3 linked regions of the Drosophila melanogaster genome follow. The protein of the gene in region 3 interacts with the protein of the main gene of each other region in a pairwise test. Each region holds a gene or a part of one and is shown on either strand. Other genes may lie near its edges.

The links.
Region 1: the proteins of eEFSec (region 3) and Sbp2 interact in a two-hybrid assay, tested with the Drosophila melanogaster proteins (one study listed by BioGRID).
Region 2: the proteins of eEFSec (region 3) and GAPsec interact in a two-hybrid assay, tested with the Drosophila melanogaster proteins (one study listed by BioGRID).

The regions. Positions count from the first base shown.
Region 1 is NT_037436.4:8,300,298-8,307,641, reverse strand, and holds Sbp2 (SECIS-binding protein 2), read right to left. Parts: upstream 3,486-7,344; 5' UTR 3,450-3,485; coding exon 2,956-3,449; intron 2,895-2,955; coding exon 2,674-2,894; intron 2,621-2,673; coding exon 2,394-2,620; 3' UTR 2,317-2,393; downstream 1-2,316. Other genes in the region: BI-1 (Bax Inhibitor-1), read left to right, coding at 262-306; Gr66a (gustatory receptor 66a), read left to right, coding at 662-902, 964-2,306; CG7194 (uncharacterized protein), read left to right, coding at 3,652-3,820, 4,152-5,023; CG13671 (uncharacterized protein), read right to left, coding at 5,430-7,344.
Region 2 is NT_037436.4:8,619,723-8,627,410, reverse strand, and holds GAPsec (GTPase activating protein, SECIS-dependent read-through), read left to right. Parts: upstream 1-3,509; 5' UTR 3,510-3,636; coding exon 3,637-3,656; intron 3,657-3,723; coding exon 3,724-3,803; intron 3,804-3,861; coding exon 3,862-4,334; intron 4,335-4,476; coding exon 4,477-5,000; intron 5,001-5,052; coding exon 5,053-5,167; 3' UTR 5,168-5,372; downstream 5,373-7,688. Other genes in the region: Zasp66 (Z band alternatively spliced PDZ-motif protein 66), read right to left, coding at 302-450, 2,728-2,928; S-Lap2 (Sperm-Leucylaminopeptidase 2), read right to left, coding at 5,498-5,638, 5,695-6,159, 6,215-7,267.
Region 3 is NT_033778.4:21,381,734-21,389,292, reverse strand, and holds eEFSec (eukaryotic translation elongation factor, selenocysteine-specific), read left to right. Parts: upstream 1-3,071; 5' UTR 3,072-3,141; coding exon 3,142-3,400; intron 3,401-3,457; coding exon 3,458-4,734; 3' UTR 4,735-4,741; downstream 4,742-7,559. Other genes in the region: Acox57D-p (acyl-Coenzyme A oxidase at 57D proximal), read right to left, coding at 162-422, 487-642, 716-1,328, 1,390-1,795, 1,859-2,151, 2,216-2,378, 2,470-2,611; bisc (biscotti), read left to right, coding at 5,131-5,390, 5,456-5,732.

The sequences.
Region 1 (7,344 bases), on a different chromosome or scaffold from region 3:
TTGCAAAAGCTTCCAGTATAAAATTCGATGTGAAAAACCATTTTAAACGGTATTTCCTGCAGCCAAGGCAATAAGTGTACTTTCACAGTCAGGCTAGGATCCTTAGGTCTATATAAACCACTTGTGGGAAGTATATTTATTTCCAAAAACTGCCAATGAAACTTTTTGCAAAGTTCTCTAGCTGTTTGTGAAATTATATTTATGTCCTTTGCTTTTGCACCGTTTAAAGGCAATACCAGTAATGCTCTTAATTATTTGCAGGAGGAGCGAAAACAGAATGAACGCCGCCAGAACAAAACTAAATAAACTTTTATGTGTAACAGCCACCACAAGAAAAACATCTGACACGGATTTTGGAGGCAGATTTCTCATTCTAGAAAATTATTCGCATTGAATATTAATAATGCCGTGTACATTTGGCTTTAAATTTACAGACATATATATCCAATATAAAACCCATGAAATTTTTCCATTTAATAAACACCACAAGAAGTAAGCTCATCCGCGTTTCTTGTCCCAAACATGGCGCAGTAGATAGACCATGTTGATAGTATCGATTAGGGGCGGAGGGGTCAATTAATTAGGCTAAGTGCACTCTGCAGGTAATAACTTGATGTTAGTGGGAATCGGTTATTCAAAGCTGTAGTGTTCAATGGACAACATGGCGCAGGCGGAGGACGCAGTGCAACCACTATTGCAGCAGTTCCAGCAACTGTTCTTCATATCCAAGATAGCTGGAATTCTGCCACAGGATCTCGAGAAGTTTCGATCTAGGAATCTGCTGGAGAAATCCCGTAATGGCATGATTTACATGCTGAGTACTTTAATACTCTACGTTGTGCTCTATAATATTTTGATATATTCCTTTGGAGAGGAGGACCGCAGCCTAAAGGCCTCGCAGAGTCAGTTAACCATCCGCCTTGAAAGGTGCAAACTCATAACCATGTTATTCATTCTTCCCAGGCACCTTGACTTTCGTGATTGGCTTGTTCCTGACCTATATCGGTCTGATTATGATGGTCTCCGACCAGTTGACCGCGTTACGAAACCAGGGTAGAATTGGAGAGCTTTACGAGCGCATCCGTCTGGTGGATGAGCGCCTTTACAAAGAGGGGTGTGTTATGGACAACAGTACAATTGGACGGCGCATACGAATTATGCTGATCATGACGGTCATCTTTGAGTTGTCCATTTTGGTGAGCACCTATGTCAAGCTGGTGGACTATAGTCAATGGATGTCCTTGTTATGGATAGTGTCCGCCATTCCCACGTTCATCAACACGCTAGACAAGATCTGGTTCGCTGTTTCGTTATATGCGTTGAAAGAACGCTTCGAGGCCATAAACGCCACCCTAGAGGAACTGGTGGACACGCACGAGAAGCATAAGCTGTGGCTGCGAGGCAATCAAGAGGTTCCGCCTCCTCTGGACAGCTCCCAGCCGCCTCAGTATGACAGCAACCTGGAGTATCTGTACAAGGAACTAGGAGGTATGGACATAGGTTCCATTGGCAAGAGTTCAGTGTCTGGTTCGGGGAAAAACAAAGTAGCACCAGTGGCCCACTCCATGAACTCCTTTGGTGAAGCAATTGATGCGGCCAGCAGGAAGCCTCCACCGCCTCCCCTGGCCACTAACATGGTCCATGAAAGCGAGCTGGGAAATGCCGCTAAGGTAGAGGAGAAACTAAACAACCTGTGCCAGGTGCACGACGAGATCTGTGAAATCGGAAAAGCTTTGAACGAGCTGTGGAGCTATCCCATTCTATCTCTAATGGCCTATGGTTTTCTGATTTTCACTGCTCAACTTTATTTCCTCTACTGCGCTACACAGTACCAATCGATACCATCGCTTTTCCGTTCCGCCAAGAATCCCTTCATCACTGTTATAGTTCTAAGTTATACGTCTGGAAAATGCGTGTACCTCATCTACCTGAGTTGGAAAACGTCGCAGGCCTCCAAGCGCACAGGAATCAGTCTGCACAAATGTGGCGTGGTGGCCGATGATAATCTTCTCTACGAAATTGTTAACCACCTATCGCTAAAATTGCTCAACCACTCGGTGGACTTTTCGGCTTGCGGCTTCTTTACCCTGGACATGGAAACATTGTATGGTGTGAGTGGCGGGATCACTAGCTACCTGATCATCCTGATTCAGTTCAATTTGGCCGCCCAGCAGGCCAAAGAGGCTATACAGACGTTCAACTCGCTTAATGACACCGCCGGCTTGGTTGGTGCCGCCACCGATATGGATAATATTAGCTCCACGCTGCGTGATTTCGTCACCACGACCATGACACCGGCGGTCTAAACTTTGTTTTCTTGAATGTTTTATTCGATGTTTCGAGCACGTCCTCCTGGCACTTTTACTTATATTTATTTGTCACGAAATAAACTCTCACGAAGCAGTTCTGCGTTTGTACTCCGCACGGGCATCCTCTATTTCATTAAGAAGATCTGCGTAGGTTGCATTCGCTCCGTCAAAGTCAAGGATAGCAACGCAACAAATTTGCGCTCGCTTTTGGAGGGCATAAGAAAGCTCCCTTCTCAGCAGAGGAAAGCAATAGGGCACTTGTTGCTGCTGGCATTGGAATTTCAAGCCTTCTATAGTCGCATCTAGACCACCTTTTTAAGCGGATATTATTAATGGCTGATTTGCGAACAATTCGATTACTCACTTTCGCCGGGGCAGATTTCGCAGTCAGTGGCCAGGAACAACAATTTCACCTTGTTTATCCTTAGCCTCGCCAGAGCTTCTCGAACACCCAAAACCAGGCGGGGATGTGCACGCGCTTTAATCTCGTTTTTGGCAAAGGCGCGCTTCTGAAATCGATCCAGGTCCCTTAACAACTGAGTGGACAACTCCTTGAGGCGAGGACGGGTGCAGTTGTCACAATAGCTGGAAGAGATCAAACATGATATTTCAACGTTTAAAGAAGGTACAACCAGTGTAATCAAACCTTCTAAATCGCCGTGAGTGAATGGCATGTACTGTTTTTGCTTGTGAAGGGTTGTTGGGTGCAGGGGTTTTACTAAGTGATAGGTTTTGAACTTGTTGCTCCAGCGGAATAGCATTCGGATTGATATCTTGACCAACTACTGGGACTCCTTCAAGATCATTCTCTGCGACTTCTCTCTCCGCCTTCTTTGAAGTGCGATATACACGTACGGACTTCTTCAACCTGGTGATCTTCTTCTTGGGATCAAGGCGGGTTTTGCCCTTGGGTTTGTAAACTATGTAGCTACCTCTTGTTATGGCTAAATGTGTCTTTTGAAGTTTATGTGCCTTTGTTTGCCTTTGTGTTTTTGGTCTCGGCTTGATGACAAAGTCCAGAAGAGAGGTTTGCTGCTCCCGTTTCCTGTGCTGGTTTTTGTACTTGGAGCTGCGTGGAGTAATCTTGATCGCTGTATCCTGGACATCCTGATTCCTGCTCCTCCTTATTTTTTCAGTCATTTATTGTGGATTCTTAGTGCATCTCTAAAATAGTGTTGGTCGTCGCGGTAAATGGTGAAATCGCTTTTTCACCACACATGAATGCGAAGAATCAGCGCGGTACAACAACGTAATTAATAAAATCAAGAACCGCAGCAAATGCGGCCTCATTCGTTCCTAAAAGTTTTGATTTGGAAGTTCAACGTTAGGCTTCTGTGAAAAAATGAGTACCGCTAATCATTTTCAAAGAATTCTTGAGAAATTGTCAATCTCTGACAATGAAAGGGCCGTATATACCAAGGAAGCCGAGGAAATTCAAAACTATGTAGTTGACGAACTTAAGCGGGTAGACAAAACCTTTCGCCAGGTATTCGACGGACTCAGTCTTGGAGGTAAGTTATTTAATTTTAAATATCTACATATATTCTACATATATTCTACATATATTTCTATATAAAAACAAAACAAATAAATAGAATAATGTTAGTTACAAGACATTGTCTGGTCGATTTTCTAATGCATTCAATATTATTTTTAATAAAAGTGTAAATTGACGGAAGTAATACAAATGTAAGTCGAGATAATCCAACGCTATACAATTACAATTGATATCTCTTGCTTTATTTTGTTTTATCATTTTTGCAAGAAATGTTGTACTTTCGTAAATTCATCGTTATGTATGTACATTATGTACCTAAAAATATATGTACACGTATCTTTTAGGAAGTTACTTGGATCGCGTCAAGCTAAATTTGCCCGATGAATTTGATCTGCACATGAAACTAAAGTTTCCATTTGATATCCGACCGACTCGGATCGACCAAGGGTTTATTTATTTAGAGGCTGATCTCACCGTAATCAATCCCCAACGCATCCATCGTATTGTACTTCAAGACTGGCTACGCAATGCATTCCGCAAGGTATTCAGGTCTAATCAGACAATTGCCACTACCAGTAATCGAGTCTACAAATTAACCTATACTCTTGAGGGGTATGGTTGTGCCCATACCATTTTAGCCGTTTGTGGTAGTCGCTCGATATCTTTTGATTTGGTACCAGCATTCGAATTCTCTGGAAGCCAATGGCCGTTTGATATTTGCCCGGTTCCTGCTGATGTTAGCAATAATTGGCCATGGTTCGCCATTCCGCAACAGAAGAAGAAGTCGGCTAAACCGAGAACCACATTCATGGTTTGTGCACCACATTGGGAGCGCGAAATTATGAAGGGCAAGGATAATTTGAAGAACGTTCTACGGCTGATGAAAGGATTGCGGGATGCCCACGCCAGGAAATTGCCTCACTTGTCCAGCTACATGTTGAAAACAGTTTTGCTTCATCGCCTCGAAAGTGCTGACTGGGAAAGAGACCTGGGCACCCTATTGGTTGAGATGTGGAGTCATTTGGTGGATCATCTACGCGCTCGTAGACTGGAGTTCTTTTTGGCTAAGGATCATAATGTATTCAATCGTATGAATCAAAATGAAATCAAGATATGTCTAGAAAACGCAAGCACTCTGCTAAGAAAGCTTTGTATTGCTCAGACATGCGGTGGTAGCTACCATCATGTGGCCCAACTATTCAATATTCCAAATTAAGAAGAATTTAATTTCAAAACAATACCGAGCCTTTTTCATGCCATTTGCAGAAAGGAAAAAGCGTACATGCACACATTTGGCTCATTCACAAGGGCGCAGAACAAATATTCGATTATATCCGAGGCTGAATAAGCACATATCTTGCTGAGTAACAGAACTTTAGTGGAAGAAAAAAGAAGTTGAATCAAAAGTCATTTCGGCCGCACATTTGATTGTTTACATTGTCCCTGAACTTTGTTTAAAAATAAAGCTACGAAAAAAAATTGATTTACCCTTTGTTTATATGTATGTATATTTATACAACTATGAGTGTTAAATATCTTATGAAGAGACAACTTTAGCCTTACGATCTACAGGAAATATCAACGGTAACTTTTAACTAAAGTTATATTTCAGGGGGATTTCGCTATAATCGAATGCTGCTTTCGATGGACATGTGCAAGTTGTTGAACTCCCTTAGGTGCGAAAGGATGTCGTCCCGCTCCCGTTCATAGATATCCCAGAATTTGAGATATTGGTTAACGTGCTGGAGTACCAGGTTGCGGGCAAAGTCAAGACAGCTCCTAACGTTACGCATCCGCCGCCTGCAGCTGGTCAAGACCGAACGCACCTGCTGCTCCGGCTCCAATTGGGCGATCACAAATGCAAAAACGTTTTGCACATCAATCCGCACATCGGTTGGGAAAACCACGGATTCCGCGCTCTTTGCCTGGGGGAAGACAATTAGAGACGGCGTGGTTGGCATGGCCAACTCCCAGGGCAGATCATTAGCCTGGCTATCGAAGCGTACAAAGTGCACCTCGGGGCTGCCGAGCAGCGCCGAAACCTGCAGAAATGCTTGGGATAGAACGGCTGACAGAGCGCAGTCAGGACGATGCATAAATACCACATTGGTGACATTTGGTCGCTGGATTGCCTGCAACAGCATCTGTCTATTGTATTTTCTACTGAACCCAGATTCCATCATGGCAAGAGCATTTTTGTGAGTCCTTGGCAATGTTCTGGCGTAAAACTGCCGTATAAAATCTTTAAGAGCTACGTAGGAGAATGTGTGTTGCTGTGGCATAACATACAGTGACTCTTCAGCCGCATCCAAGATGAAAACCTGCACCTGCTGATGGGTTTGCTGAATGCCAAGCTGGTGTAGATAGTCTCTATATTTCACAGAATCGAAGATCACCACGCCCAGCGACCGATTGTGGGCTGCGCGCTCCGTCGAGTGCTGCCAAATGAGCTGGCCATATTTGGTTACCATTTTGGCAATGCCGATTTTTATGGCCGGCGTTCCATGCTGTGAGTGTGCCAGGCAAAGGTTTCTGGAGTGAAGCCGCAGCAAGTGGGGGACGTTTCGATAACTCGGATGGTTCTGGTGCGAGTACTGCCTCCATAGGTGGTTTAGATACCTATTAATCCGATAATAGTTCTTAAGTGTGGTCTTGTTTTTACTCCAGGCCGGGTAACATGTCCGGGTTTGTTCACCATCCCCAAACAGCTCCTTGGGAACTTGATTTAGGGAGGAGGATATGTCTTCAGATTGTTTATCGAATTTTTTCCAGTAGTCTTCGCACCCCTCCGACTGCTTTTTTTGAGCGTAAGCCATCTCCTCGCCCATGACGCTAGCATGGTGATATTGGTTCATTCGAACTCCCATAGCCAGCACGGGGACATGTCGTGCCTTCATGGCGATGGTCATAGGAGTGCCATAGCCATTGGAGAACAGCGACATATTTTTGAGTGTGCTCCGTACCCAGCGCAGAATGTCGATGGTCTTCCATACTCCAGATGTACCATTAAACGTATGAACTCCATTTCGGCTGTCGATAACTACAAACTGGGGCAGCTTGGCCTCCGAGGACTTCAACATCTTCCTGGCACTGTTGCCAAAGTACACGGTGAAGCGGATATTCCTCTCCGGATCCAGTTCCAGCCAGCGCAGACCGGCAGCCAAGTAAAGATTGTAGGCCTTGTCGTCTGGCGAGTCAAGCAGACCCAAAACCACCGCATCCGAGTGCTTCCGAATGGCGGCGAGATCCTGACTACTGTGTGCCCGGTCCAGTGGCTGAAGCAGGTTATTCATGAACCGGGCGAGATCTTCAAAGCTCCACGAGCCCTGGTACTGGAGTAACTGCTTTTGGCCGTAGCGCACGATCAGCGTGGGCCATTTGTCAGGATAACCTCCTGCGCCGGCGACTCCTGGTGCCGGCATCAAAGTACGGCTGCAATTGCACTGCAAGTGCCAGCAATCGATGGCTCCAAAGAAGCCATACTCCTGGTAATAGTGGGCCAGTCCATTGTAGACCAGTCGTGCCTGCCGTGCTTCG
Region 2 (7,688 bases), on a different chromosome or scaffold from region 3:
TTAATATTTGTCATATCACAGACCATACAAAAGAAAAATCAGTTCCTAACGTTTCTTAGTGCAAATTGATCCAAGACGAAGGTTTCCTTTTGGCAATGGAGTAAAACTTAAGTTAAGTTTTTTATACTATGACTATAATCAACTAACTTTTATGATGATAAAAGCCCTGTTTAAAAAACAGAAAACTAAAATGAAGGTGTTCTCTTTACTCAATACACTTGACACTCGTAGAAGAAATTGATGTTAAACATACGGAACTGATTGGTATCTTTGATGCAGATACACGGATTTCCTGGCTCACCTGTGCACCACCAGGCGGATCTCGTTGCCAGCGCCGCGGAACAGCTGCTGTGCATCCGCATGACTCAGGTCGCGTGCGTCGTACTCGCCGATCTTCGAGATGATGTCGCCTCTTAGAAGTTCGCCATGCGCTGGGCTGCCCACTTGCACCTGCAACGGGTGGGGTGGAAAAGGAGGTGGGAAGGTCATTAGACACACATAGTATAGGGTGCAACGGGCTGGTTGCAACCTTGACACAGATTTATGGGTGCCTAAATAGATGCAGACAGAATTATGATCGCCAAAATGTGTGTGTTTACATCGCAGCTCAGTGAAAAGGGGGTAGGTAGGAAAAGTGGAAATTTTCTTCGACTATTCGGTTGCGCCTCAATTAGTTTTACTGGCGTCGCATTTTGGCAACGCTGCAGCGTTTATTGTTGCTGTGCCCGTTTCGCTATTTTGATTTGTTGTTGTTTATTTGGGCGCTGAGAACAAAGCGGCATGCGGGGCACAAAGGCCAATCGCTTTTCCTCAGGCATTTCTTCTCTGGCTCAATTTTGATGAATGGACCACAAGCGACCACAAGGCGACAGTCTCTCTGGTTATATAACGCCCATTTACCCTGGTGATAATTAGCGGCGTGTCCAGATCGTTGCCGCCCACCAAACGAATGCCCCAGGGCGTGGCCTGACCATCGCGCAGTAGCACCACCGCAAACTCATGCAGCTTGGGGCTCATCCTGATGTTGAAGATAGACTGGAAGATCAGACGCTCATCCGATCCAGCGATGGTTTATCCCGAAAATATATATTTATTTTTTATTGTTTATTTTTTTTTCTGGCCTTTTCTGGCCGAGCCGCAGGCGGCGCGCGATTGCAATCCGTTAAGCGTTTTGTTCGATCGCAAAGCTGCTCAAGTACTAATTTTAAAATACAATTCGTATTCCTTTTTGCAGCAACAGCAGCGGCAGCAGAGTACACTGCGCCACAAGTTTGTTTCTTACATACACATATGTACATACATGTACAACTTATATCCGCCGGCAACGGCGACTACATGCTGAGAAACATGAATTCGATTGGCGAATCCTAATCGTTAAATGGGGTTTCCGCTAAGAGCACTCTGAATTTCTCAGAGCGGATGTCGTGGATTCAAAAAGCATCAGGAGCATTTACCTCGGCAAAGCTCATAATTACCACAAGATAATTAGGCGTATACTTGATAAGCGGCTGCATATCAAATTACGCATACGCAGTGTTAATAAACATGATTGCTTGCATGTGTGCCATGTATTTAAAGCTTTACTATTTTCATTATTATATATACCCAAATCGCGAAGAGCATCCGCAAGCCACCACAAACTCAAACCTTTTCCCACATTGTTCCCATTGTTTAATTCGACGTGTGCCCTGCATTTGTGGCATTCTGCATTTCGTTGACCACATTTTAGGGCAGCACTTGATCCAGTTGCACGCTGACCCTGAAGAGATGAATGCCACATATCATCATCTAGGCGAATGCTTTGATGAGCTAGCTCGCCTGATGCAAAAAAGCATAAAAATCAAGTATCTAGGCATCTGTTTTTCCTCGACATTTTCGACTATTTTATTAGTGTTTTATTCCTCTCCGACTTGTTTGCCGAACGATGAGGCAACCAAGAGAGAGTGTAATTAGTTTTAGTTACTGAGGCGGTACTAGCACAACTGCAACAACCAATTCGACACTCTTGCCCAATTTAAATAAGCAAATCATATTAGATTTTTAATGCATTAGTCAATGGAAAAGTCTACGGCCAACGTGACGTATACGCAATATGAACGGGTCAACGGTTGAAGGACGTTGGTTTGTATTAAACATTCTGTCTGCCTCTCGATTTTGGCAACAATTTTACTGTTTACAGCGGAAAAATCTTTTCCTGCCTTTTGGCTTTTCGCTGAATATATACACAATATATGGCTTGCCATTTCATTTTTAATTTTATACATTCTGATTTCGGCACTTTTTGGCTGGCTCTTGAAATGTTTTTACTATTTGCGGCTTGAATTGTTTTCATTTCATTTTCAATTGGAATTCGTGTAATGTTTTTACGGTGACTTTTGCTGTAGATCAGCCTTGAGCGGATTGTAAATCATTCGAAATTCTTCACCCAACGTCTTGCGAATGGTATAAAAGTCATGCCAATGGAAATATAGATCCATCCATCTTTTTTGGGCCATTTTACTTGACCGAAAAGTGCAGCAGTGGCCAATTAATTAGATTTGGCTTGACAAATTTACGAGCCGCAAGGGGCGAAATGTTATTGAACTGATTTCTGAGTCGGCCTGTTGTGAATTGGGGCCACAAATACATTGGAATACGAATAAGAAAAGAACACACGCGCGATGATTGACAAGCCGGGCGATTTGAAAGGGGTTGGGGCTTCCACTTTTCTCGGCCACTTGGACTTACCCCCACGTTTTGCTCATCGGCAAAATGGACGCGCTTCTTCAGTCCGCTGCTGCTGCGCCGCCTGCAGGGCGATGGCAGCGGTACGAGCGGCGGTTTTGGGGTCGGCTGTGGACGATAGGACGTGGGCAATTCGTAACCGGGCACCTTCCAGAAAGCCGGTCGACTGAATGACGCGGACGCCGATGATCTGCTGGTCGTCATTGCTGGCCAGCGACTAGAGTAAACAAAAGAAATGCTCCGCACATTCAGAAATATGCGCTAAATTCTACGATTCGAACGCGTCTGCTCGCGACTGCGTGTGTGTGTGCACTAGTAGGCAATTGAAAAATCAAATAAAAGCGGAGAAAAAATCAGAGAAAATGAGCGAAAACAGAATATTATTATTCATTCAAAATCCAGTGAAATAGTGAGACGCGGAGAATTATGAATGGATTAATTGATGTTTCAGTTAGTAAATTTGATTGAGCAAAGAAAATACATACAAGCAATATCTAATAATCATGATTTAATCATTTTCATTTACAATTTAAACAATAGCGCCTTCAGCTTTACAAGATCTGGCAACCAGCTTAAAAACAGTTTTTCAATTAATTAATTAAAAAGAACAATACAATTAAGACAGAAGGTAATTACATACATTTTTACGAGGACAGTAAACCATTTAAAATTTCGATTTATTTATAAAATTTAATCGTTAAAAACTTTGAATTTTACCGCCCAATGCACTCAAAAATCGATAGTCGCAGAGAATAATCGATTAGAGCTCGAACCATCTGGCAACGCCCATTGTTTTGTTGTGTTTTATACCTGCAGATTTCACCCAGCATAAAACTGAGATAAAGCTTTAATTAATTACACATAGGGGTACTGCAAGATCTCAGCATAGCCCCGCCCACATAAAGCCGCAGCATGTCTATTTTCAAGGCGCGGTAAGCTGTTATTCTAAGCTAATCCAAACTTCTCCGTAAACAAAGACTTTCTCTAACCAAAATGCAGAGTCAAGGAATTTGAGGATGTTTTGGCGGGGCCACAGGATTTAATTGACCTGAAACAACTCAGGAAACTGGCATTTAATGGTAGAAAGCTAAGAGTGCATTTGAAATGTTCAAAATTTGAAGTCTGAGCACTCCACAGGTGTGCCCGATGTGCAGAGTTTTCGAGCACTCAGTTGGAAGCTACTCCTTGGCTATTTGGGGCCTAGGCGCAGTAGTTGGACCACAACCTTGGCCCAAAAGCGAGCCCTGTATAAACAGTTCATCGAGGAGCTAGTCCTGCCCCCCGGACACTCGAGCAATAGAGCTAGCGTAGACGGAGGAGATGGGGACAAAGTCGATTCGGGGGGCGTTGGCCTGCAAGATCATCCGCTGAGCGAGGGACCCGAAAGCGCGTGGAACACGTTCTTCAATGATAACGAGTTTCTACTGCAAATCGACAAGGATGTCCGCCGCTTGTGCCCGGACATATCCTTTTTCCAGCAGCCCACCGATTATCCCTGCGAGATTGTGGTCCACAGCAAAGGAGAGCATGGACGAAGGCTCCACGAACGGGTGGTTCCCGCCGTTCTAAGTTCGGCGAATGTGGAACGCAAGGGCCTCGGCATGACAAAGGTGAGTTCAAGATCGGAATTGTGCTAGACAATAAGCTCAGAATGTGTTGTTTCATTCATGCATACCGTGTGGATTTTAGCAGCAAGTAAGTAAGCCCATCTGGAACTGCCCCAAACCTAATGAATATGTGTGCTCTATATAGATAAATTTGATTACAAAACGCTCCGTTGAAAACTATGCCGCCATGGAGGAGGGCCAAGAGGCTCACTGGGAAGTTGTGCAACGCATTTTGTTCATCTATGCCAAACTAAATCCCGGCCAGGGATATGTCCAGGGCATGAACGAAATCGTGGGACCCATTTACTATGTTATGGCCTCCGATCCTGACCTCACATATCGCGCCCACGCTGAGGCTGATTGTTTCTTTTGTTTTACCGCCCTGATGAGCGAGATAAGAGACTTTTTTATTAAAACACTAGACGACGCAGAAGGCGGCATCAAGTTCATGATGGCCAGGCTATCGAATATGCTGAAATCAAAGGACCTAAGCATTTACGAGCTACTCAGGAGCCAAGAGCTGCATCCGCAGTATTACAGCTTCAGGTGGCTCACACTGCTCCTGTCGCAGGAGTTTCCACTGCCAGATGTACTGCGCATTTGGGATTCCGTGTTTGCGGACGAACAGCGATTTGATTTTCTGATAAAAATATGCTGTTCAATGATATTGTAAGTAAACTTAGCTTTAGTATAAAGCAAGAACTAATATGAAATTTTGCAGAATCCAAAGGGAAGCAATTTTGGAAAACGACTTTGCCTCGAATGTGAAACTCTTGCAAAACTATCCGCCAATTGACATTAATGTTGTGATTGCTCATGCCGGATCATTGGCGTAGCATTCCTCCAGAAATATATCCTTGTGCCCAAATGCTTGCAAAGCCCCCTAGTTAGTTTAACAACTGAAAGAACCAAGCAATCAACTATACTTTAGTTAGCCCCAATCTTGGAAACGCACCCTTACAGGAAGTCCAATAAGTACACGCATTTTCACTTTTTTACATGACTTATAATTTGTATGTCATTAATAAACGAATTAATTTTAACATTTCGTGGTCCCAATTAGATAAACGTCAGAACGTTAAAGAAGTCATAGGTTGGTCAGTCGTTAAAAGAATACCGATGAACGTGTGGCATCGTCTCATTAAACTTAAACACCGTTCGAAGGTTCACTTGTTAAGCTTTGGAGCTGTGTCCTTGCATATGGACTGTGCAATAAACTCGATGAGTGTCCTTGTTGGACGTCCGGCCATGCCCTCTCGCAGATACTCGAACTCATCACCACGTGTGATCATCACGTTGGTGGCATCCTGGATTAAATCACAAATCAAATCAAAGTCCTACAACTAATAAAAACAAAACTTACAATATGCATCCATTGGCCGCAAGGCACAAATTCACGAAGGAAAGCGGCAGCTTTGCAAGGACGTCCACCACGACCGATACCGTAGTTCTGGACATCACTGCGTCCACCGGCACGCACCGCCTTGCTGTAGTAGTTCCACAGGGGGAAACGCCACACGCGGTCTCCAGTGTGCATGCTGGCGTGCTTGATCTGCTGCCAAAGGATCTCAGAGTTGGTAAACACCCCACAGGCAGCCTCATCCAACGCTTGGCGCATATATCCCGAGCAGGTGCCAATGTCAATGATGCACTTCGGACAGAAGTTCTGCCCGTACAGAAGGGCATCCGCCAGCACTAGAACATCTTCGTGGTCGGTGCACTGCACCTCAATGGTCTTGCCATTCATGGATTTCACCATGTCTCCAGGACGGAAGGAATTGCATCCAATAACGTTCTCGCACAGGGGTATTAGTCCACGAATATTGACCTAACGGTAATATATGGTTATCCAAGGAATAACATCGGGTCATCCAGTCACTTACCGGTAACCTCAGGCCAGCGACAGCACGACAAGTGGCCACCACTACGGCCGCACCAGTCATATCTCCGCGCATGTGGAAAAGTTCCTGCTTCTCCTTTAAGCACAAACCACCTGCATCGTAAGTCACTCCCTGCCCAACCAAGACGATGGGTCGCTCCTCGGCACAGGTGCCGTAGTAGCTCAGCTCCAGAAAGATTGGTGGTTCGCAAGAGGCCTTTCCCACCGCCAAGAAGGCGTGCATCGACTGGCTCTCAGCCCAACCCTCGACTTTGACCTCTACATTGACGCCGGACTTACAAAGCACTTCGACGACATTCTGGGCAAAGGCAGTGGGGGTCAAAAGGTTGGAGGGCATCTCCTGCAACTGGCGGGTCAGGTTCTGCGCGGCAGCCTTTTGCAGGCCGATACGCCATCCTTCTATGTCGCAAATCTCATCCTTAGTGGCATACAGATCGATGGAAGGCACTGAGATTCGCCGCTTGGGATCGCGAAGCTCCTGGTAGATCCAGATCCCGAGAGCTGCTCCCTCCGCGGCAGATTCGGCGTGTCCACAGTTCTCTACTTCGATGCGGTCGGTGTCCAGTTCAGCGAGTATTCGGCAGGCATCCGCTACCGACCGTCGGATGGCCTCCTTCTGCTCGTCGAGCACCTCGTATGGGTTATAGCCCAGGCATTCCTTACCCAAACCGATAACTGCCACCGCCGAATAGTAGGGCACGCGCTCCGGCTCCACGGCGAACAGGAGGCGGGTCTCTCCCCTTTTGGGCATGGGTCCGGACATTCGCAGCACTTCTAGCAACCGACCGTGCGTCTTCTGCACATTGTACTTCCAGCCGGTTGGCGTCAGGATGCCAGCGTCGTTCTTGTCCTCCTCGTCGGCGTAGACTCCAACGACCAAGCCACGCGACGGAGGATCCGCGCAGATCTCCATCTGCTGCAGCTGCAGCATCTGGTTGATCGCCTGCGAGGCGTACCTGCGATGACGGATCACCTCCGGCCGACGAATGGAGAGACTACACGCCCGGGTTATGGCATTGCGAGAAAACCGAAACATTTTGCTTGAAGTTTAACTTAAAACTTTGATGAATGCTGAATAATATTACTACTAGTATTGAAAACTTTCTCTTCGATTTTCTGTGCCGCTTCAAAATAATTCATGAAATTTTTTCACCCAGACTAGCTAAAAGTGTGTACGTGTTCAACCTCGAAACGAATAAAAATAAGACTGAGCTAGTCCTATGTTTCAGTTCCGACGTAGCACTGACATTAGTCTCGATAAGGTTGCTAGATCATCAGGATTTTAATGTAAAATCTCTGCCTGCTAAGTGCGAATTTTTTAGAGAATATGTTCTTAAGATGAAATGCTCCAAATGTCAATTGTGTTGCGATTTGCAACATGCTTTTGCACAAAATAGCAATCGAAGGTTAATGTTCTTGCAACTGTCTAATGCACTCAATAAAAGTCATAAAATCGC
Region 3 (7,559 bases):
GGCAAAGAATTCATTTAAAGAGCGGTATATGTTGGGTCTATATTATTAAAGAGTATTATTTACAAAAATAATACAAAACACCAATACATATGGGGTATTTACAATACATTACATTGAGCCTAACTCTAGATAGGTGGTTTAATAAACAGCTGTCCAAGGCACTAGATGTTTGACTTCATGAACGGCCTCAGGATCTCATGGAAGTACTTAGGCACTGCTTTTTGGTTCATCGGATTCTTGAGGGCCGCATCGAAGATACGCTCGTAGGCATTGCCATCGTAAGAGCCCAGAGTGGAGTTCAGCTGCAGATCGCTGAAGTCAAAGCCATCCACAATGGCCACAGCATCTGGTCGCAGTTTGGTGAGCACTGTTTCCAAGCGATCCTGCAGCCCGGAGAGATCCGTATCGGTCAAGTTAATGAACTGTGGAATAAGAATATATTAAGTTAACATTCAACACATTCTAGGCTAAATAATTGAAACCCACTCTCAGCAGGTGACCCATTTGATTAAGTGTCTCCTTGACTAGGTACAGCTCCAACAGGTTCTCCAGGACTCGATTGAAGTTAGCTGAGCGCGTCTTAGATTGAGGACCGGTGACTGCTTCATAGAAAGCACTGAAAACAAAAGCACGTCCGTGGAGCTATGGGCAAGAAAAAATTTAGAGTTTTTCAGAAATCGGTAGGGCACAGTCCAAGTCACTTTAGCACACTAACCTCTGCCGCCTGGGTGAACTCAATGCCCGTGTGATTAGCTGCGTTCGCTTCAGTTTCGCCCCTTGACATACGTTTGGAAAGGCTCCTGAATGCCAACTGTGTTCTATTGGCAGCTGCATACTGCATGGCCTTAACCATGTTCTCCCAACTTCCAGTCCAGGTGCCAAACTCCGGATTCTTTTGCACCTCGGCCAAATAGCGAACGGTGGGCGGCAACGGAGCTCCAGTCAACGCGGCTCGCCACGTCTTCATTAAAAAGCGACCGATCTGCAGAAGCAGTACGGTGTTCTCACCCTCATACGTGCAAGCTGCGGTGGCACTAACGTATATACTGCTCATGTTGGATGAGGTGAGGAATCCATGACCACCACAGGCCAGTCGCAATTTCTCTACACCAGAAGCGGAGTCCATGGAGCAGGTAACTTTCAAAGCGCAGGACAGAGAATGCAACTCCGGCAGACGTTCGTATTTTCCGTTTTCTATATCCTCGATGGTCACATCGTACAGATTCCACAAGTAATCACCGGCCTTTCGGTATGCCACGCTTGTGGCAATCTCTGGGAAGAGTTTCATTTGTTGTGTAACATGATCCATGATCTGAGGCTCTCGTTCGCTGAAAATAAACAAGGGACAATTGAATTCGAATAAATGTATCTACGTTGTTAACAACTTACTTGGGATTAATTGGGCTCTGACGGCGCACAGCCGAGTATCTGGTTGCAATGGTGGCAGCAGAAGCCAACATCACGGCATTGTTTTTGGCAATTACACAACGCGTGCGGACCATGGCAAAGTAGGTAAGCACATTGGTGGGACTACTAACATAGGATCCATCAGCCTTCACCTGAGCATGTCGCATCAGCATTCTCGTACGAGGAATCCGTACGTTCTTTAATCCAAGGAAACCATTGTTTACGCCAATGAAGCCCATTTTCTTGCCAATATCACCGATGTGGACGCCGGGCAGTGGTTCGTGGGTGTCTTCATCACGCACCTGAATAAAGAACATGTGCGGACCCTTGCAGTCGCCGTCGATGTACAGCTGAGCCATAACCAGGCAGTGATTGGAGCTGTGGCCCACTGAAAATTTATAGTTAAACTTTAATATCTGAAAACCGATTGGATCACCATGCCAGAACTTACAGCCTCCGGGCCACCACTTGTAGGAGGAAATATTGGGGGTGTTGAGTACAAATTGATCAGTCTTTCGATCAAAATCAGCACGCGTTTCCAGCCCGCGCAGGTAGGTTCCATGACCCAGTTCCGTTTGGGCATAGGTGCCGCAAATCTCGAAGAGTTCCACCCGCTTGCCGAATTCTTCATACTGCTCCGGAGTGCACTGAGCCTGCAGAGCTTTCACCAGCATCACGTACATCACACCAAAAGGATTGCCACCGGGAACGAGACCCCACATCACTTGAGCGTCATACAAATTCCTAGAAGAGTAAGGTAATCAGTCATTATTCGTGTACTTGGCATCGGTAAGCAGGAAACACCCACGGCCAGTAGACATCTCCGCCAGGATTGCGCTCCTCCTGCAGGCGGCGTAGCTTCTTGGCGCCTTCGATTGCTCCACGCGTGGAAAACTCGATGATCTCTTCGTGGGTTTTGTTTTGCAGCTGCAGCATCTCCGACAAATCCACATCCTTCTCCATATATTCACCTGGTCATAGAGAAAAACAGCCCAGTCAGCATGACCCCAAATTATCTGTTCCCACTGATAAGCGGAGCGATGATTAGTTTTATGGACTTACGAACGCCGCGGTTGAACTTTAGCACTTCCTCGCCCCCCGCCCACCAAGCGGCGAATTCTTCGCTGTTAAAGCTGGCTGCATCTCGTTCCTTCTGCAGATCGGGATTTACGGTGGTAGGGATAACCGAAGTGGAAGAGGCCATAACAACTAGATTTAGAAAACCTGCGAACTGCGCGCCAAGAGCACCGACCGCTTACTGACTTTAAAACAGCCGATGGCTCTTCATAAATATAAGTGAAACTTGTAGTCTTTGCTCTTTCGATACGAGTGTTTTTGATTGAATGCTTTGTTATGGCGCAACCGTTATCTGGGTAATCGCTGGATCCCAGGTCAAAATTTAATCGGATGCATACTCCACTTTACTACCTTATTACGCTGACATCAGGGTGGTAAGCACAATTAATAAGATAAGATTTGAATACCAACAAAAAAAAAATAGGTTTGCCCCCACAGATGTTAAGACTCAAATTAGTAAACTGATAGCAAGTTTTAGATCACTTGCGATCATCTCACTAAACACAGATATCGGTCAATAGCAGCATGTTACACTTCTCTGTTAACTAACACCACTGTTATCGGTTATTAGAAAATCGAAAGACTTCCATCTCAATTGGATTTCTATTGTTTGGTTTAGTGCAGTCTATTTTTTACCTCATTTTTCCTCGGCGTACAATGCCGATCAACTTTAATATTGGCTTGCTGGGACATGTTGACAGTGGCAAGACCACCTTGGCCAAGGCTTTAAGTTCGATTTCCAGCACGGCCGCCTTCGACAAGAATCCGCAATCAGTGGAGCGAGGCATAACTTTGGATTTGGGCTTTAGTGGACTTTTGGTGGATGCTCCTGCGCACTTACCTCAAGGAGAACAGCTCCAGTTCACCTTTGTCGACTGCCCCGGCCATGCAAGTCTTATACGCACTATTATAGGAGGTATTGATAACATTTAATGTCATTCTAAGATCCCTTAGCTAAACTAAACAATTGCAGGTGCCCAGATCATTGATCTCATGCTCCTGGTGGTGGACGCCCAAAAAGGCAAACAAACCCAAACAGCAGAATGCCTCATTATCGGGGAGCTGCTGCAGAAAAAGCTGATTGTAGTGATCAACAAAATAGATGTTTATCCAGAAAATCAGAGGGCGTCCAAGCTGGAGAAGCTACGCTTGCGGCTCGCAAAAACTTTGGAAGCCACCACATTCGGTGGTCAAGTGCCCATATGTGCTGTGTCTGCTTTGCAAGGAACACATATCGCGGAGTTGCGAGAAGTACTTAGAGAAGCCTACTTTCAGCCGCAGAGAAACCTAGCCGATCCACTCTTCATGTACGTTGATCATTGCTTCGGAATAAAGGGCCAGGGAACCGTTTGCACTGGCACTCTGCTCCAGGGAAAGGTTCAGGTAAACAATGTGATTGAGCTGCCAGCTCTTGGGGAGCAAAGGAAAGTGAAGTCCATACAGATGTTTCGCAAAAACGTGACCAGCGCCTCTATGGGCGACAGAATTGGGCTTTGCGTGACACAATTCAATGCAAAGCTGCTGGAGCGTGGAATCATTACCCAACCGGGTTACCTGAAACCCATCTATGCCGTGTGTCTACAGTTTAAACCCATCCGCTATTACAAGGAAGTCATAAAATCTATGAGGAAGATGCACATCTCCGTGGGACACAACACAGTGATGGCCAATGTAACTTTGTTTCGGGATACGGACGGCACAACTTCCACTTTCCAACTGGACAAAGAATACGAGTATATGGAGGACGTCCAGCCTGCGGAGGTTCAACATAATGATGTGATCTACGCTCTGTTGCAATTCGAAAGTCCTGTTCTATCTCCGCCACATTCAACGCTGATTGCTTCGAAGCTGGACATGGATGTCCATAGTACCAGTTGTAGATTGGCGTTTTGGGGACGCATTGCCTGGCAGACGCACAGTTCCAAATACTTTCAGGAAGAACTGCCGAAACTGCGGATTTTCAAGCGCAAACAGAAAGTGGGAAGCATTCAGCGAGTGGTCAATAGCAGCGAAGTGATAGTTCAAAACCTTTTTAAGGACGCCAAACGTGATTTGTACGTCGGCAAGAATGTGGAGCTCTCGACGGGAGAGAAGGGTCGCATTGAACGCACCTTTGGCCAGACATCCAAAGTGGCTATAACTTTTCAGGACGCCCTATCTCCTGAAACAATAAGCAATGTGAAGAATGTTAAGGTTTTGCTGAACTGTAAGAAATATGTGTTCAATAAACAGGCAGGCTTGTTTCAATGACAAAGTTAATAACTAGGTTTTTTTTATCTCTAATTTAAATATTCCGCCAAGGTGGTAAATTTATCGACCATTTATATTTAAGAATGTACTAATGCTGTTAAATTGCTGTTATTTTCTAACATTATACCTTTAGAGCCATAAAACTTTCGGTATATTTTTAGATCTCTGCACAGTGGTATTTGCGACCGCTCCGAGTGCGGTCACACTGACCCAATCCCAAAATGCCAATGTTAAAAAACAACAACAATTTTGGAGCCTGCCCCCGCGAACTGCAATAAACAAAACATCGAAACCGGAATCGAAAACGACAACAGATAGTACCCGCGAGAAAGAGCTCCCGCCAACAGAACACCACCACCGCCTGTCCAACCGAAGTGGCCAAAAAGAACACCACCCATGTTCCCAGTGCTGCTGCTCCTTCTCTTCTTCTTCGCCAAGGAAACCCACCAGATCAATGTGGACTGCAACGAGCTCCAGATGATGGGCCAGTTCATGTGCCCCGACCCGGCGAGGGGTCAAATCGATCCCAAGACACAGCAGCTGGCCGGATGCACCAGGGAGGGTCGCGCCCGCGTCTGGTGCATCGCCGCCAACGAGATCAACTGCACGGAGACTGGCAATGCCACGTTCACCCGAGAAGTGCCCTGCAAGTGGACGTGAGTGCAGCTACAGTATCTCATAAACATAATCTTAAGACCTATATTCTATTCCTATTCTATAGGAATGGCTATCACCTGGACACCACACTGCTACTCTCTGTCTTTCTGGGCATGTTCGGCGTGGATAGATTCTATTTGGGCTATCCGGGCATCGGACTCCTCAAGTTCTGCACCCTCGGCGGCATGTTCCTGGGCCAGCTGATTGACATCGTGCTGATAGCCCTGCAGGTTGTGGGTCCGGCGGATGGCTCCGCCTATGTGATACCCTACTACGGAGCCGGCATCCACATCGTGCGCAGCGACAACACCACGTACCGGCTGCCCAGGGACGACTGGTGATGGTTAAGGCAGCACAGCGCCTGGTGTACAGTAGATCACTTTAAGTCCTTGTTATACCTTAAGTACGGCTTATGACACTAACGATAAGCAACGACTGCGGATCCGTTCCGATCGAACAATGGATCGCTTCGGTTCGGATCGAGACTCCGGATTAGTGCATTACGTACCCTCCTAGTTGATAAGTGTATAGATTGTTGCCACCCTTCCTTTGCGTAGCCTAAGTTGCATTGTTTAGACTTAGTTACCAATGTACATGGTCCCTCATACAATTCTACATCTATGTACTTGTATAGGCCGCATAGACAAATTGTTTGCCAATATAACTAACGATTTTAATTAGTCTGTCGTGTATGCCGTGTATATGTATGTATATGTATCTTCCGTGGAATTCCCTCTTTCAGCTCGCGGACGAACAATCGCACTTCTTGGCAAATATAATTGGCCCACTTGTACTTTGAACTCGCGAACATTTTCGGCGTGACAGAGATTGGTCAACAAGAGAACAAAACGGAGAAGCCACAGTGCCGGCGACATCCCGCCTTGTTGACGTTGTTGACTCACCGGCGAAACGCCCAGACACCAGAGCAGCACATCATCAACGGAGAACGATTACGCACAAACTGGGCTATTGCAGAGGCGACGGTGGCGGCGGATGATCTTTTCTGTTCGGAAAACATTTGCTCTTCTGGCCCTTTCATCCGATTGGCATTTCCGAATTTATCAGCGGCGACGCATCAGCCGGCAAGTTGTTCGATTTTAATTGCATGGCCGTGGTCGCTTGTAATTCGATGCGTTTTAATTAGGCTCTCAATTAAGATCAAGTTTGGTTTTTATCTTGAAATGGGTGAGTGTTGCGAATAGCATGCAAATGGGATGATTGGCCAGCAAATGCTTTAAGGTTTGTTTTTCAGCTCTACACGAGTTCATTTGAATATATGTTCATTGCAGTAATTCACCTCAGGCTTTTTATAAACGTACAATATATCGTTAAATCGGCATTTAAAACTATTCTTAGTCCCTTTTCAATTCTTCTCAAACTGCTTGCCAACAGTTTTAGAGCCACTCCCCTGAAACTGTACGCATATTGGGTATTGTTGCACGTTGTCCCAGGCAACGGTAAGTAATACTACGAAATGGCCACGCCCCCTTGGCCAGCCCTTTCGAATTGGCAATGCACTGACCCCGGCCACGCCCACCGCCCACATTATTGTTATATAGATAAATGGACATGTGCAAAAGAGCTTTTCAATTAGCCCGGCCAGAAGCCAGAAGAAGTTGACAATGTGTTGTTGATACTCGTATGTCGCAGTGGATACACTGGATACACCTAATTACAGTGTTAATGTCGTGCCGCCTGTGTAAACATTCCGGGGTGGTGGGGGGTGTCGTTCTGGAATGGGACAAGGAGGGCCATCACAGAGAGGAAAAAAATTAATTCACTTTGAATGAAGATTTAAAATCTATTCATATCTATGAAGTATAATAATTTACCCAATTATTTTCTAAATAATTTTTAATTAGAATTTAAGGACTACAAAAATTGGCCTTCTATTTAATGTGTTGTATATTATTTTTGCATTGTAATTATTCTTTTCATTGGGAGTGTACAATATATTTTTGAAGTGGAGGCACTTGATCTTTGTCCGCAGTTATCTCCCTGCAATTTGCTCCTTGAAGCCACTTTTCCAATTCTGTGGACCCGATATGTATGTTTGTACATATGTATGTAGGTATCGCTTTCCATGGGGCAAATGAACTCTGCGCCATTAGGGAAATTTGAGCAGCTTGTTTGTGAGCAGGCTGTTGGTTTTCGATGTGCGCGTGATA